Linked DNA regions of Arabidopsis thaliana. The protein of the gene in region 1 interacts with the protein of each later gene in a pairwise test. Each region holds a gene or a part of one and is shown on either strand. Other genes may lie near its edges.

Evidence for each region.
Region 2: the proteins of SGT1A (region 1) and AT1G68185 interact in a two-hybrid assay, tested with the Arabidopsis thaliana proteins (one study listed by BioGRID).
Region 3: the proteins of SGT1A (region 1) and SRFR1 interact in a two-hybrid assay, tested with the Arabidopsis thaliana proteins (2 studies listed by BioGRID).

The regions. Positions count from the first base shown.
Region 1 is NC_003075.7:12,297,818-12,301,573, forward strand, and holds the start of SGT1A (phosphatase-like protein), read left to right. Parts: upstream 1-2,060; 5' UTR 2,061-2,197; coding exon 2,198-2,357; intron 2,358-2,932; coding exon 2,933-3,005; intron 3,006-3,192; coding exon 3,193-3,317; intron 3,318-3,465; coding exon 3,466-3,568; intron 3,569-3,642; coding exon 3,643-3,739; intron 3,740-3,756. UniProt on the Arabidopsis thaliana protein: Functions in R gene-mediated resistance, but participates in a lower extent than SGT1B to RPP5-mediated resistance. Not required for RPM1, RPS2, RPS4 and RPS5-mediated resistance.
Region 2 is NC_003070.9:25,554,227-25,557,982, reverse strand, and holds the start of AT1G68185 (Ubiquitin-like superfamily protein), read right to left. Parts: upstream 1,601-3,756; 5' UTR 1,580-1,600; coding exon 1,439-1,579; intron 1,325-1,438; coding exon 1,249-1,324; intron 1,161-1,248; coding exon 1,102-1,160; intron 908-1,101; coding exon 777-907; intron 641-776; coding exon 430-640; intron 1-429. Other genes in the region: AT1G68180 (RING/U-box superfamily protein), read right to left, coding at 2,358-2,380, 2,483-3,167; UMAMIT23 (nodulin MtN21 /EamA-like transporter family protein), read right to left, coding at 3,725-3,756.
Region 3 is NC_003075.7:17,614,070-17,617,825, reverse strand, and holds the start of SRFR1 (Tetratricopeptide repeat (TPR)-like superfamily protein), read left to right. Parts: upstream 1-1,879; 5' UTR 1,880-2,291; coding exon 2,292-2,419; intron 2,420-2,528; coding exon 2,529-2,638; intron 2,639-2,902; coding exon 2,903-3,585; intron 3,586-3,676; coding exon 3,677-3,721; intron 3,722-3,756. Other genes in the region: KAI2 (alpha/beta-Hydrolases superfamily protein), read left to right, coding at 337-781. UniProt on the Arabidopsis thaliana protein: Negative regulator of effector-triggered immunity associated with the EDS1 resistance pathway. May localize its interactors to a microsomal membrane. May therefore negatively regulate RPS4 and SNC1 translocation to the nucleus.

The DNA.
Region 1 (3,756 bases):
TTATTACTTTACATGTTTTTTTTGTTTAAAGCATTGTCATATTTATTGTCATTATGAAACCCAAAATGAAAGGAGTTAATTAGAGATCATTGTTTTCATCTAGAGCAGAGCTCTGAAACTGGAACCAATTATTTGGAGTCTTGATGCAAATTCATGTAGCCTTGGAGCTCTGAAATTGTTCTTCTATATGTTTGCTGATCAAATTGTTAAAATAATGGTGAGACTGAGACTCATGGTTTAAATACTAGCAAAAATGGTAAATTTAAAATCCCCCTTAGCCACGGACCTTGAGCAAAGAGTCTAGTGTATGTGTCTATATATGGTTCACCTTTTGGATAAGAAATCAATTTCAAGCTCATCTTTCTACATAGAGAGAAACTTGGATCTTGTACTTTTTAAGATGGAAACATCCATAAAAAGGTAAAGATAAAGCTGATATGGCAAAACGCCAACAAAATCCTACAAGTAAATAAATCTTGGGCCAACTTTAATGTTCCTAAAAGAAATGAACTTAGCTACAAAGTTACTAGTCACGTCTCTGCTGCCAAAATTCTTGACACATTCTTTACACTTCTTCGAACAAAGAGAATGGTTTGATCCACAAAGGATGCAATGCGCACCGCTTCCACAACATTTGATCTGTGGCATAAATCAATCTTGCACCATAAGGGCTTGAAACTTTCAGCTTTTGCCACTAACACTCTAACGCAAACTTGTGTTAGACTGCAACCAAATGAAATATTTGAGAAGCACCAGATCCATTAACAGCAACTATGAGCCCATTACAATGATTTGCCTCCATCAGTGTCTTGGATCGCTAACACTATCCAATAACCAGCCTAGCTGGTACTTAGACAGAATTTTTTTTTCTTCTGGATCTGTGAAAATAAATGTAACATGAGCCATTGACTAAGATCTAGCTCTAATTAACTCAGTCAAAACGACGATCAAAAGATTGAACTATTGGAAATGGAAGGGGCCGCGCGAACGCAGGCCCCCAAGGCAACAAATAATGACGCAGGATCTCCCACTTGGGGTGACCTTTGGCTTAGCGCACCTCAAGTGCAGGAAGCCACCAGCCTAGGCCACGGATCTTCATGATCACCCGTAAACCCCGTCCAGGTAAGTAATTTGCAATCCTCGACCATCTTCTTTATTTATACTATGCTACACACGAGTGCCCATCCTCAAACTTCCGATGAGGGAGCATCAACATTATCTCGTATCTACTATAGGCAGGCTTTCGTTGTTTGATTAGCCCAAGTTTTATTTCTTGATAGGCCGCAATGTCTATATTCCGGTCCAAATCAAACCCAACAGATTTTTTTTTTGTCGGCTATTTGTCACAGATTTCTTTTTATATACGAGGAACAAGGTTAATTATATTGAACTAAACATTAAAAAAAAAAAAGAATTTTACAGATGCAGGTTGATATTTAACGTTATTGTGGGTCAACTCAACTCATAAGCAAAGTTGATATGATACTATTTAAATTGACTTCACCACATCCACTTGACACTAATAAATTGACTTCTCCATCCCTATCCACACATATTTGAATCTTCCAATAAGGTTCCACGAAACTGCTAGGAAAACAATATTTTCTAAGGCAATAGTCCCACTTTGGTTAATCATAAAATTGTCAAATCCACTATGTAATTTGTGATCCATAATAAATTAAACCAGTTATTCATCATCTAAGTCAGACACTATTTTAACTCTAGAAAACTTGACAAAGTACATGAAATGTTTTTGAAGTGAAGTAACAAAATTCCAACATGTACAAAATATATATTTTTTTTTTTAAACGAAAATATATACACTAGAGACCTCACCTATTTTTCTTAATAATATCAAATCTCACATATTTGATGTACACACAAAATTAAATTTATAGAAAATGAAATATATTATTTTAGAAAAATAAGGAGAAACTTTGTGGAAAAAATAGAAAAATATTTAAATTATTGTTTTTATAAATTTTATTTTGGGTTCGAACTCTTCAACTCCCTGAACACAAGTCGCATAAAACGAAGGAACAATCTAGAAGAAGAACGATAACATCCAATCTCTCTTTATATTCCTTCCTTCCATTGTGGCAATAAGTAACAAACCTTGCCCTCTACTTCATTCCCTCCTTGTTTTGATTTCATCGTCTTTGTTAGCTCTCCTCTGTTTTTTTTTCTTAGTCAATCGATGGCGAAGGAGCTTGCTGATAAGGCTAAAGAGGCTTTCGTAGACGATGACTTCGATGTTGCTGTTGACTTGTACTCCAAAGCCATTGACTTGGATCCTAATTGCGCTGAGTTCTTCGCTGATCGTGCTCAGGCCTATATCAAACTCGAAAGCTTCACTGGTAGCTTCTTTGTTCTGTTATCTTCGTCTTTTACTGTCGTGGACGCCTTCTGGGGTTCTGGGTTTTTGTATGTTTTCGGTTTCTTACTTCATCATAGCTGAAAGTTGTTGACTTTGCTGGATTATGTGTATTTAGGGTTTCGTTTTGTGTCCTGTCGCTTGATAGTGTCACAATTCTTTTCGAAAGTTTAAAGCTTTCGTATCAATTTGATACTAATGTGTCTCTCTTTTGCTGTTTGTGGAGGAACAATGTATCGGAATTGCTTTCATGAGAAACGAAATTTAGTTATTTGTTATCAGTAGCGAGTGCCCTTTACAAGTTATGCATTCAAACATTGGTTTAAGTTGGTTTTAGCTGTGCTAGTCTTTTGATTCTTTGATTGTGAATATGGAGAATTTTGTTTACAGATAGTGTTAAGTATTAACGGAGTATTGAAAGTTTCAATTTTTGCTTGAGTGATTAGTCTTTAGTTCAACTATTTCTTGCTTTAAGAAAGTATTCTCTGCATTTTTAGCGTAGTATCATAGAACTTTACTAGTTGGATAAGATTTTGGTCTCATTTGATTCTCAATGAGCAGAGGCCGTGGCAGATGCGAACAAAGCAATTGAGTTGGATCCTTCATTGACCAAAGCTTACCTAAGAAAAGGGTAACGTTTTGCTATTTCCTCCTATGTAACATTTTTAAGTCGTATATAAGTTGTAGTGAGAGTTTAATTTTCTCTGATTCCTTAGTCCTTAGATTGTTTTACTACCAGTTTATATGGTCTGCAAATGTGGTATATATCTGTCAAGCTATTACTTCCATTGTTCATGGTTTGGTTTTTGTATTTGTAGAACTGCCTGTATGAAGCTTGAAGAGTATCGGACTGCTAAAACAGCTCTTGAAAAGGGTGCCTCTATCACGCCGAGTGAATCCAAATTTAAGAAGTTGATAGATGAATGCAATTTTCTAATCACAGGTATGTTTTTTGTGTTTTTTTCTTGTTTTCTGGTTGATTATGTTTACATGCCTAGAGTGATTGTATTGTTTGCCATGGTGCAAAATATTTTGTTATGTAATTCACCTAAGGTTTTGATCTATGGAACTTGTAAATATCCTTTTTCCAGAAGAAGAGAAAGATTTGGTTCAACCGGTGCCTTCGACTTTGCCTTCAAGTGTGACAGCACCACCAGTATCTGAACTTGATGTCACCCCTACAGCCAAGTACAGGTAGTTTTATTGTAGAAAACAATACCAAAGTTTTTAAGAATCATTAAATATCTGATATTCTTGAGTGTTAACAGGCACGAGTACTACCAAAAGCCAGAGGAAGTTGTGGTAACTGTTTTTGCAAAAGGAATACCCAAGCAGAATGTTAACATCGACTTTGGTGAACAAATTGTGAGTATAAGGCTCTT
Region 2 (3,756 bases), on another chromosome or scaffold:
AATCAACATTCTCATATTTTACAAGCTTTAACAGAATATGCATATCTATTAATGAGCGGCTCATTGTATGACAGAGAGCAAGCAATATGTATTCTGTGTGTAAATGCTATGTGGTGATGATACATTGATAAGAACATGAACTCGTTCTCTAGTTTATTAGATGAACTCAAAGAATAGTTTAAAGATCCATCAACTAATACACGTCTCAAATACTCGACCCCATTCAATGATTTCTTTAATCCCTGTATTTATACTCTTGCTTTCCTAGAAAGCTCGAAATATCTAGCTATCTAGATAGTAGCGAAGGTGACATAACAACTAATTCTTATCTCTACTAAATATCTAGTATCTAGCTAGAAAAAGTTTGGATAGTAAGCTTATTGTCGATGGAAGGTTGGATAGTAAGTGGCAAGCAGTGAAAAAACTTACCGCAAACACCCGGAGTGTCTTCTGTCCATCTTTGTCCTGTATTGTAATAACAATCTTGGCCCTGTCATTCGTAGGCTCTGATGGTAACTGAGCAGCAGTCTCTGAAGATGGATTGCGAGATTCTTCAACTTCCCTTTTAGCAGACTCCTCAACTTCCTGCATCACATCTCCTACAGTTTTTGTAAATGACATGAGCTCCATCTTCTTCGACCTACGTTACATATTTCATTTATAATCAAATTGTAACACTGGGACTCTTTCCGGATAGCAAATAACACTACCATAGCCTCTAACAGCAACATGGGAAGCTTAGAGATGAGAAATACTCAAAGACATACAAAAGTTACCTCAATGCTTTAATAGTTGAATCTTCAACAGAGTCTTTACTTTTGTCGAAGATAACCTTTGGTGGAGGAAGCAACCAATCGTCATCACCCGTAACTTCAATCACTTTCACATCATCATCTAACTTCTCAACCTATATAAAAAGATTCAAGTTCCAAAAGGAATGATGATAGATTCAACCTATGAATTGTGAAGTACATAATCGAATTGTTCCTTCACTGACATTGATTCAAAACTCTTTACAAGCCCACAATACCAAAAGTATCTATCAAGTTAACACAAAGAGCTCAATGAGACAACAACCAATCAATAAAAATCAATTCTTACTGTTTGTGAAGTTTTCGCTTTCTTCGGAATTGGCGTCACCGAGGCATCATCATCATCATCTACAAAAATTCAAGCGATAATAAAGGATTCATCTTTATCACTGTCGAGTGTCGAGCTCAGTGACCAAATCAAATAATCGAAACTCACCATCGATACAAACGAAATTCGCTGGCTGAACACGACGATAATCAAAAAGTGGCTCTAGATCTTCTCCTTCACCTCCCTGATCATCAATCAGTAATACAAATTCAGAAAAACTCAGGCATCAACACAATCCCACAACAGACAAAATTAGGGTTTTAAAAATTGGGGTATTGGGAATTCATAAAATTCTCACCATTGTTAGCGAATTTGGATCTTCTTCGTCTGTTTTATCAGAAACCCTAGATGAATTTGGACAGATTTTGAATTTGAATATTATTTTGCTGTGATTTTTGAAAAGACAAAAGTGATTTTGAATTTTGATGAAGAGAGGCATCGGCGATTAAGAAGCACCTCTTGGGTTTATTATTTGTTTGTTGGGCCTGTTTAGTGGGCCGAGTTTTCATTGGTTATCACACTTTTTTTTCAGATTGGTTTAATTGGGTTGGGTGACCATCATAGTTGATTGCGTATTTGTCATTTGAGATCTGTTGTACTTTAGTAGAATTTTGTTGGTATTTTTGAATGCATGACAATAAAAGATGGTACAACAAGACTCATCCTAAGTCTTTAGTAGAGAAGTCCATGGGAAGCTCTACATGAAGGTTATAGTAAACCAAACCGAGAAGGCACAAACTCGGCTTTACAAAATCAGGCCAAAAATAAGATAACCGGCAAATAAAAAGGGTTGGTGAGGCTATTCAAACCATACCTAAGTAAATTGTGTTCGATGATCACGAGAGAGAAAGAAACAAAGAAAGGGAGACAAAGCGTTTTCAGAGACTATGAGAGATCATGGAACCCTAGCTAGTAGAGTAGAGGACTAACCTTATTACCAAGATTTTTTATTTACATGTTGTTACAACTTACAAATGAATAAAAGATAATTAATGCAAATATAGTCTTGTTAATGCCAAAGTTTTGTTTCATGAAATAAACACGCTTCTAGCCTTTCATGATCACCCTCTTTGTCTCTTTATGTAGTTTTTTTTTGTCGTTTCTTATTGATGTGTGTTTCTTCTCCTCTCTCTCATAAGTCATAATACACTTAATATGTAGTCAATAATATTCCTAGTTTCATACATTCTTGTTTGCAATTCTTTAATTTTTTTTTGTCAAGAGTTTGTTATTCTTATATCTGCGAAATTGTATATATTTTTAAGAGTTAAATATCATAGTCAAAACCCGTATAAGCATAATAGAAAAGCCATGAAAGCTATATCGGGAGGTGGAATCTTACCTATGAGATTATGTACCCAATCAATCATCATTCGGAGAGGCCACAAAGAACAAACCCGAGTCCGAAACCGATTTGATCGATCATTGTCGATGTTGTAAGACCCTCCTTCGTCTACGTTACTCTCGGAAACACCTAAGTTAACCTCAAAACGACAAATGGGACAAGTGTTGTGAATGTTCAACCAAGACACAATGCAGCTTGAATGGTACAAATGCAAGCATTTCAATTCTTTTCCTTCCTCTCCAACTTCAAATTCCTCCTTGCATATCGCACAAACCTTCTCTTTCACCAAATCTTCATCCGTGATTATCACCGTCCTTACAGCCTCGATGGCGGATTGCGAGGCTGGTGGTGGACCGATTTGTACACTAGGCATGACATCAGCGAATTCCTCGTCAGTATTATAAACTAGATCATCATGATTGAACCGGTTACTTCTTGGTTCGTTGATAAGATGGAGAGTGATCCAATCGGTATCACTATCCCAATAAGGTCGGCTTGGCCTCATAATGTCAAGCTCATCGTGAAGATTGATCTCTCTAGAACAGAAAGGACATATGGGACCATATAGACCAAAGCTTCTTAGCCTAATGGTACGGCTACAATGGCGACAATAGAAGTAATGGAACGTTCTTGTTCTTCTTGTTCCATTCACAATAACTCTTGGACGATAAGCAGATGTCATGTTTTCAATCTTTTTATTTTTTCGTCGGTAGGATCTTTATATATGCATTTATAATTAAATACGTGTACATGTTTTCAAGAAGAGGCAAGACAAAGCCTATACGAGTGAATGAGTTATTCTTTTCTGTGTTTAGGTTGGTGTCGTATGGTCTCTGCTATGTCAACTTGCGAATCTTTTAGTGATTTGTCTTGTAGGAATCAGAGATTCAAAAGGATGCTTGGAGAATCAATTACGATAAAGGGTTTTAGGTTTGGAGGAGAGTTATTTGAGCGGCCCATTATGGGCCCATTCCAACTTACTAGTTCATGTACATATTGTATGACTCAGAAGTGAAATTAATTAGACCCAAATAAGATTTTACAATTTATTATTGCTCGTTAAAAAAAATCCATGCAACATCTTATGAAGTTGTGGATGTGGTAGTACAAAGGTCATATGCACATAATAACTTACATAGATGGTTCAATAAATCATCGTTAGATAGAATAATAATGTTAATATTCACTTAATCAAATATACTAACAACAAGTCGTTCAACATATATAAATGATGGTTGATCAAGGGACATTTGTACTTAATGTTGGGAGAT
Region 3 (3,756 bases), 5.3 Mb from region 1:
AATTATCTATTATTTCGAAATATTTATTTCTCATTCTGACATAATTTCGACAAAGTGCCTCTTTGTTTATCCTCTTGTCTGAATTATCCTATTTCTCAAAATCAGTGAAGCATTTCATTATATATTTCAATAAAAATCCGTAAATTATGAACAAAAAATCATGAAATACCCATTTGTTTATTTGTTTTTTTTTATTTGGTTTTACTGAGGTGTTACTTACACTTTTTTTAAAAAAAATTGTTGAAACGGTGCTCACACAGTATATTATATATTTTAATTTTCTTCTGACAAAAGAAACATATATAATCAAATTATATTGTTTTGGTACGTTTATAGATACGTAAACGATGTTGATTACCAAGGTGGATTCGAACAAGAAGACTTAAACCAACTATTCGAAGCCATCCGAAGCAACTACAAAGCGTGGTGCTTAGGTTTCGCTCCACTCGCCGTCGGTGGCGACATGGACTCCATCGCCGTTCAAGAATTCAGCAGAACACTCTTCAATATGCGTCCCGACATAGCTCTCTCCGTCGGCCAGACCATTTTCCAAAGTGACATGAGACAGATCTTACCTTTTGTCACTGTTCCGTGTCACATTCTCCAAAGTGTTAAGGACTTAGCTGTACCAGTCGTTGTCTCCGAGTATCTTCACGCCAATCTTGGCTGTGAATCCGTCGTCGAGGTTATTCCTTCTGATGGTCATCTTCCTCAGCTTAGCTCACCAGATTCTGTTATTCCTGTCATCCTCCGTCACATTCGTAATGACATTGCTATGTGATTGTAAGAGATTTAATTAGTTAATTATTAAACGATGTAAGAAAAGTTGAAAAAAAATATCTGATGTGATATGTCTGTCTAGTCTATTGAGAACATTATTTCGTTGTCGTTTGGTTCTGATTCGTTTATCTTGAGTATCTTGATCTTTGTTGTTCTTATCTTGTTTAACGAAAAGTCTCTGTCTTTTGTCCACAGCTTTGCTCAGAGCTCATTATTGCTTGATGTAATAGTGATGTTCGTAATTGATGGTCCATAGTGAATTATTGCAACTTTGCAAGAGTGCTTGTGCTATACTGTGTGAAGAGTAATTAACATGTGATACTAGGAATTAGCATTGAGTTTGCATTTATGGATGGGTAATCCAAACCATAAAACATACATATTGTGATGGTTTTGAAATTTGTTTGTTTGTGAACAAAAATTAGCCAAGTTTTAAACAAAGTAAAATGAAAATTTAGGGTTTTGAATTAGGATGGAGTTAAGTCATATTTTGTTAGGTTTGTTTGCTTATGAAATTATGGATTTGTTTGATGTTATTATAGGGATGCGGTGCAAAAGATATTGTTTTCTATATTATCATTTATCACTAATAACTTTCAAATTTTATTGACGCGCCTGCTCAGATTTTATTCGATTTGTTGTTTATGAAATTAGTTATAGATTGGTAAGTAAATAGCTTTAAAAAATTAGTGATACAAAACAAAATGGTAAATATTGTATTGCTTCTTACTAGTCAATACTATGATTAAACTTCCATTTTATAATTCACTTTATATAAAACTTCTATTTATTTTCTTAAAATTATTTTATTATTGAAATTTAAATATCATTTGGTACAATATTATTTCTTCATCACTAGTCAAATACTATGATTAGCCTACCCAAAAAAAAAGTCAAATACTATGATTAAACTTCCATTTTTTTAAAATTCATTGCAGGTCATACAATTTAAATGTTTACATAGTCATGAAAGAATTGAGAACATATATATACTTCAAATTTGTTCTCCAATACAGTCACACACCTAACTTCAATTTGCTTAGAATTTCTTTGGCAAGACGATTAACAGAGCTAGCCCATTGTAAAAGGGTAATAAATAATAAGTGGGCTAGGCCCATATATACACAACAAAAAGTCACGTGACAAGAAACTTCATACGTGTGCGACTCTTGCCCCAAAATTTGATTAGCACCACTTATTGAGAAGCAGCAGCAGCACCACAAGCACCACCACCAGTATCACATTCACATTCACCATCATCGTCTCTTCGCTCTTATCTCTCCGTTACTTTTTTATTTACTATCTCTCTCTTCCCCGTTACTTTTTTTTCTTCCCCGTTTCGTTCTCCGTCAAAGTCTTCTCTCTTTACCATTTTCTCCACTGTACTAATTTCCCTTTTTACCCCTAAACCCATCGTTCCCGTGACACGACGGCCACGAAGAAGAGGGATAAAATTGAGAAAGATTAAATAGGCGATTGATTTCTCCATCGGAGACACCACCGCTCAAAAAATGGCGACGGCGACGGCGACATCGGAACGATTCGAGTTAGCCAAGCACTGCAGTTCACGGAACTGGTCTAAAGCGATCCGAGTTCTCGATTCGCTCCTTGCTAAGGAGTCTTCAATTTTGGATATATGGTTTGGTTTCGAGATCTTTGTTCTCTCATTCAATTTCTCCGGATCGGTATCAATGATTTTTCTCCCGTTAATCTCAGTATTTTTTTTTGAATTGGGAATTTGGTTTCAGCAATAGAGCGTTTTGTTATAATCAATTGGAGCTTCACAAGCATGTGATTAAGGACTGTGACAAGGCACTTCTGCTTGAACCTTTTGCCATTCAAGCTTTTATTCTCAAAGGTTAGTTCACTTCCAAGCTTTGACTTGAGTGCTTCATAGTTTCTCTGGGAATTGAGTTTGATTCTCGGGATAGCTTCAGAACTAGAATTAGGGGTTTAGATAATGCTATAGTGCCTGCTAGTTATGACGATATAATGGTTGCTTAAGAATATCTGTTAAGTTATATATCTTATCGGGGATGGAATTTTTTATGGTTACCGGATCATGGTTTACTTTGATTGGTATACTGCATGTGAACTCAAGTGTATCAGCTTTTCCATCTAGGACGCGCTCTTTTGGCTTTGGGGAGAAAACAGGAAGCTGTTCTTGTTTTGGAGCAAGGGTATAAAAGTGCGTTGCAGCAGACAGCAGATGTGAAGCAGTTACTTGAATTAGAAGAACTCTTAAAAGATGCAAGACGAGAAATTGATGGGATTTTAAAAAGTCATGCCACCGAGTCTCCGCAAGAGACCCCTGCCTATCATAGTGAGAAGTCTGATGAAAAAAGTGACAAGCTGGACAACCATGAATCAGGAGCAAGTAGCAATGGGAACTCACATGAGTCATCTAGCGAATTGGGCGAGCAATCAAAGATAGTAAGCTTTTCAAAAGTTGCATCCAAGGCTAGCAAGCAATCTGATGGTAATTCCGACTTATGTAACGGATCAGTGTACAAGGAAAAAGAGAATGGAAAGTGTGGCAGCCAAATCAATGGTTATTATGAATCATGTAAACCTTGTAATGGTTCTGATTTGCATGATAATTTAGCTGAAAGTTCCGATCGGTTCGGGGAGCTATCGATTAATGGAAACAAGATAAGTATTAAGTCTAGCAAAATGAGCCATAAAGCTGAGGCACGTTGCGGAATTAGTGATGAATCCAGGAAAAATAAGAAGTACACCATAGCAAGAATATCGGGAACCCATTCCATAAGTGTGGATTTTCGACTTTCTAGAGGCATTGCACAGGTATAGCAATACACAGAAAAAAAGGAAAAGAAAAGAGCTATAAGGTATAGCTTCCAAATTTTTGATGACTGAGCTTCTGTTTTGTCAACAGGTGAATGAAGGAAACTATACGAAAGCTATTTCTATTTTTGATAAGGTGATTTGGTGATCTTTATCTCTGGCGAGTGTCTC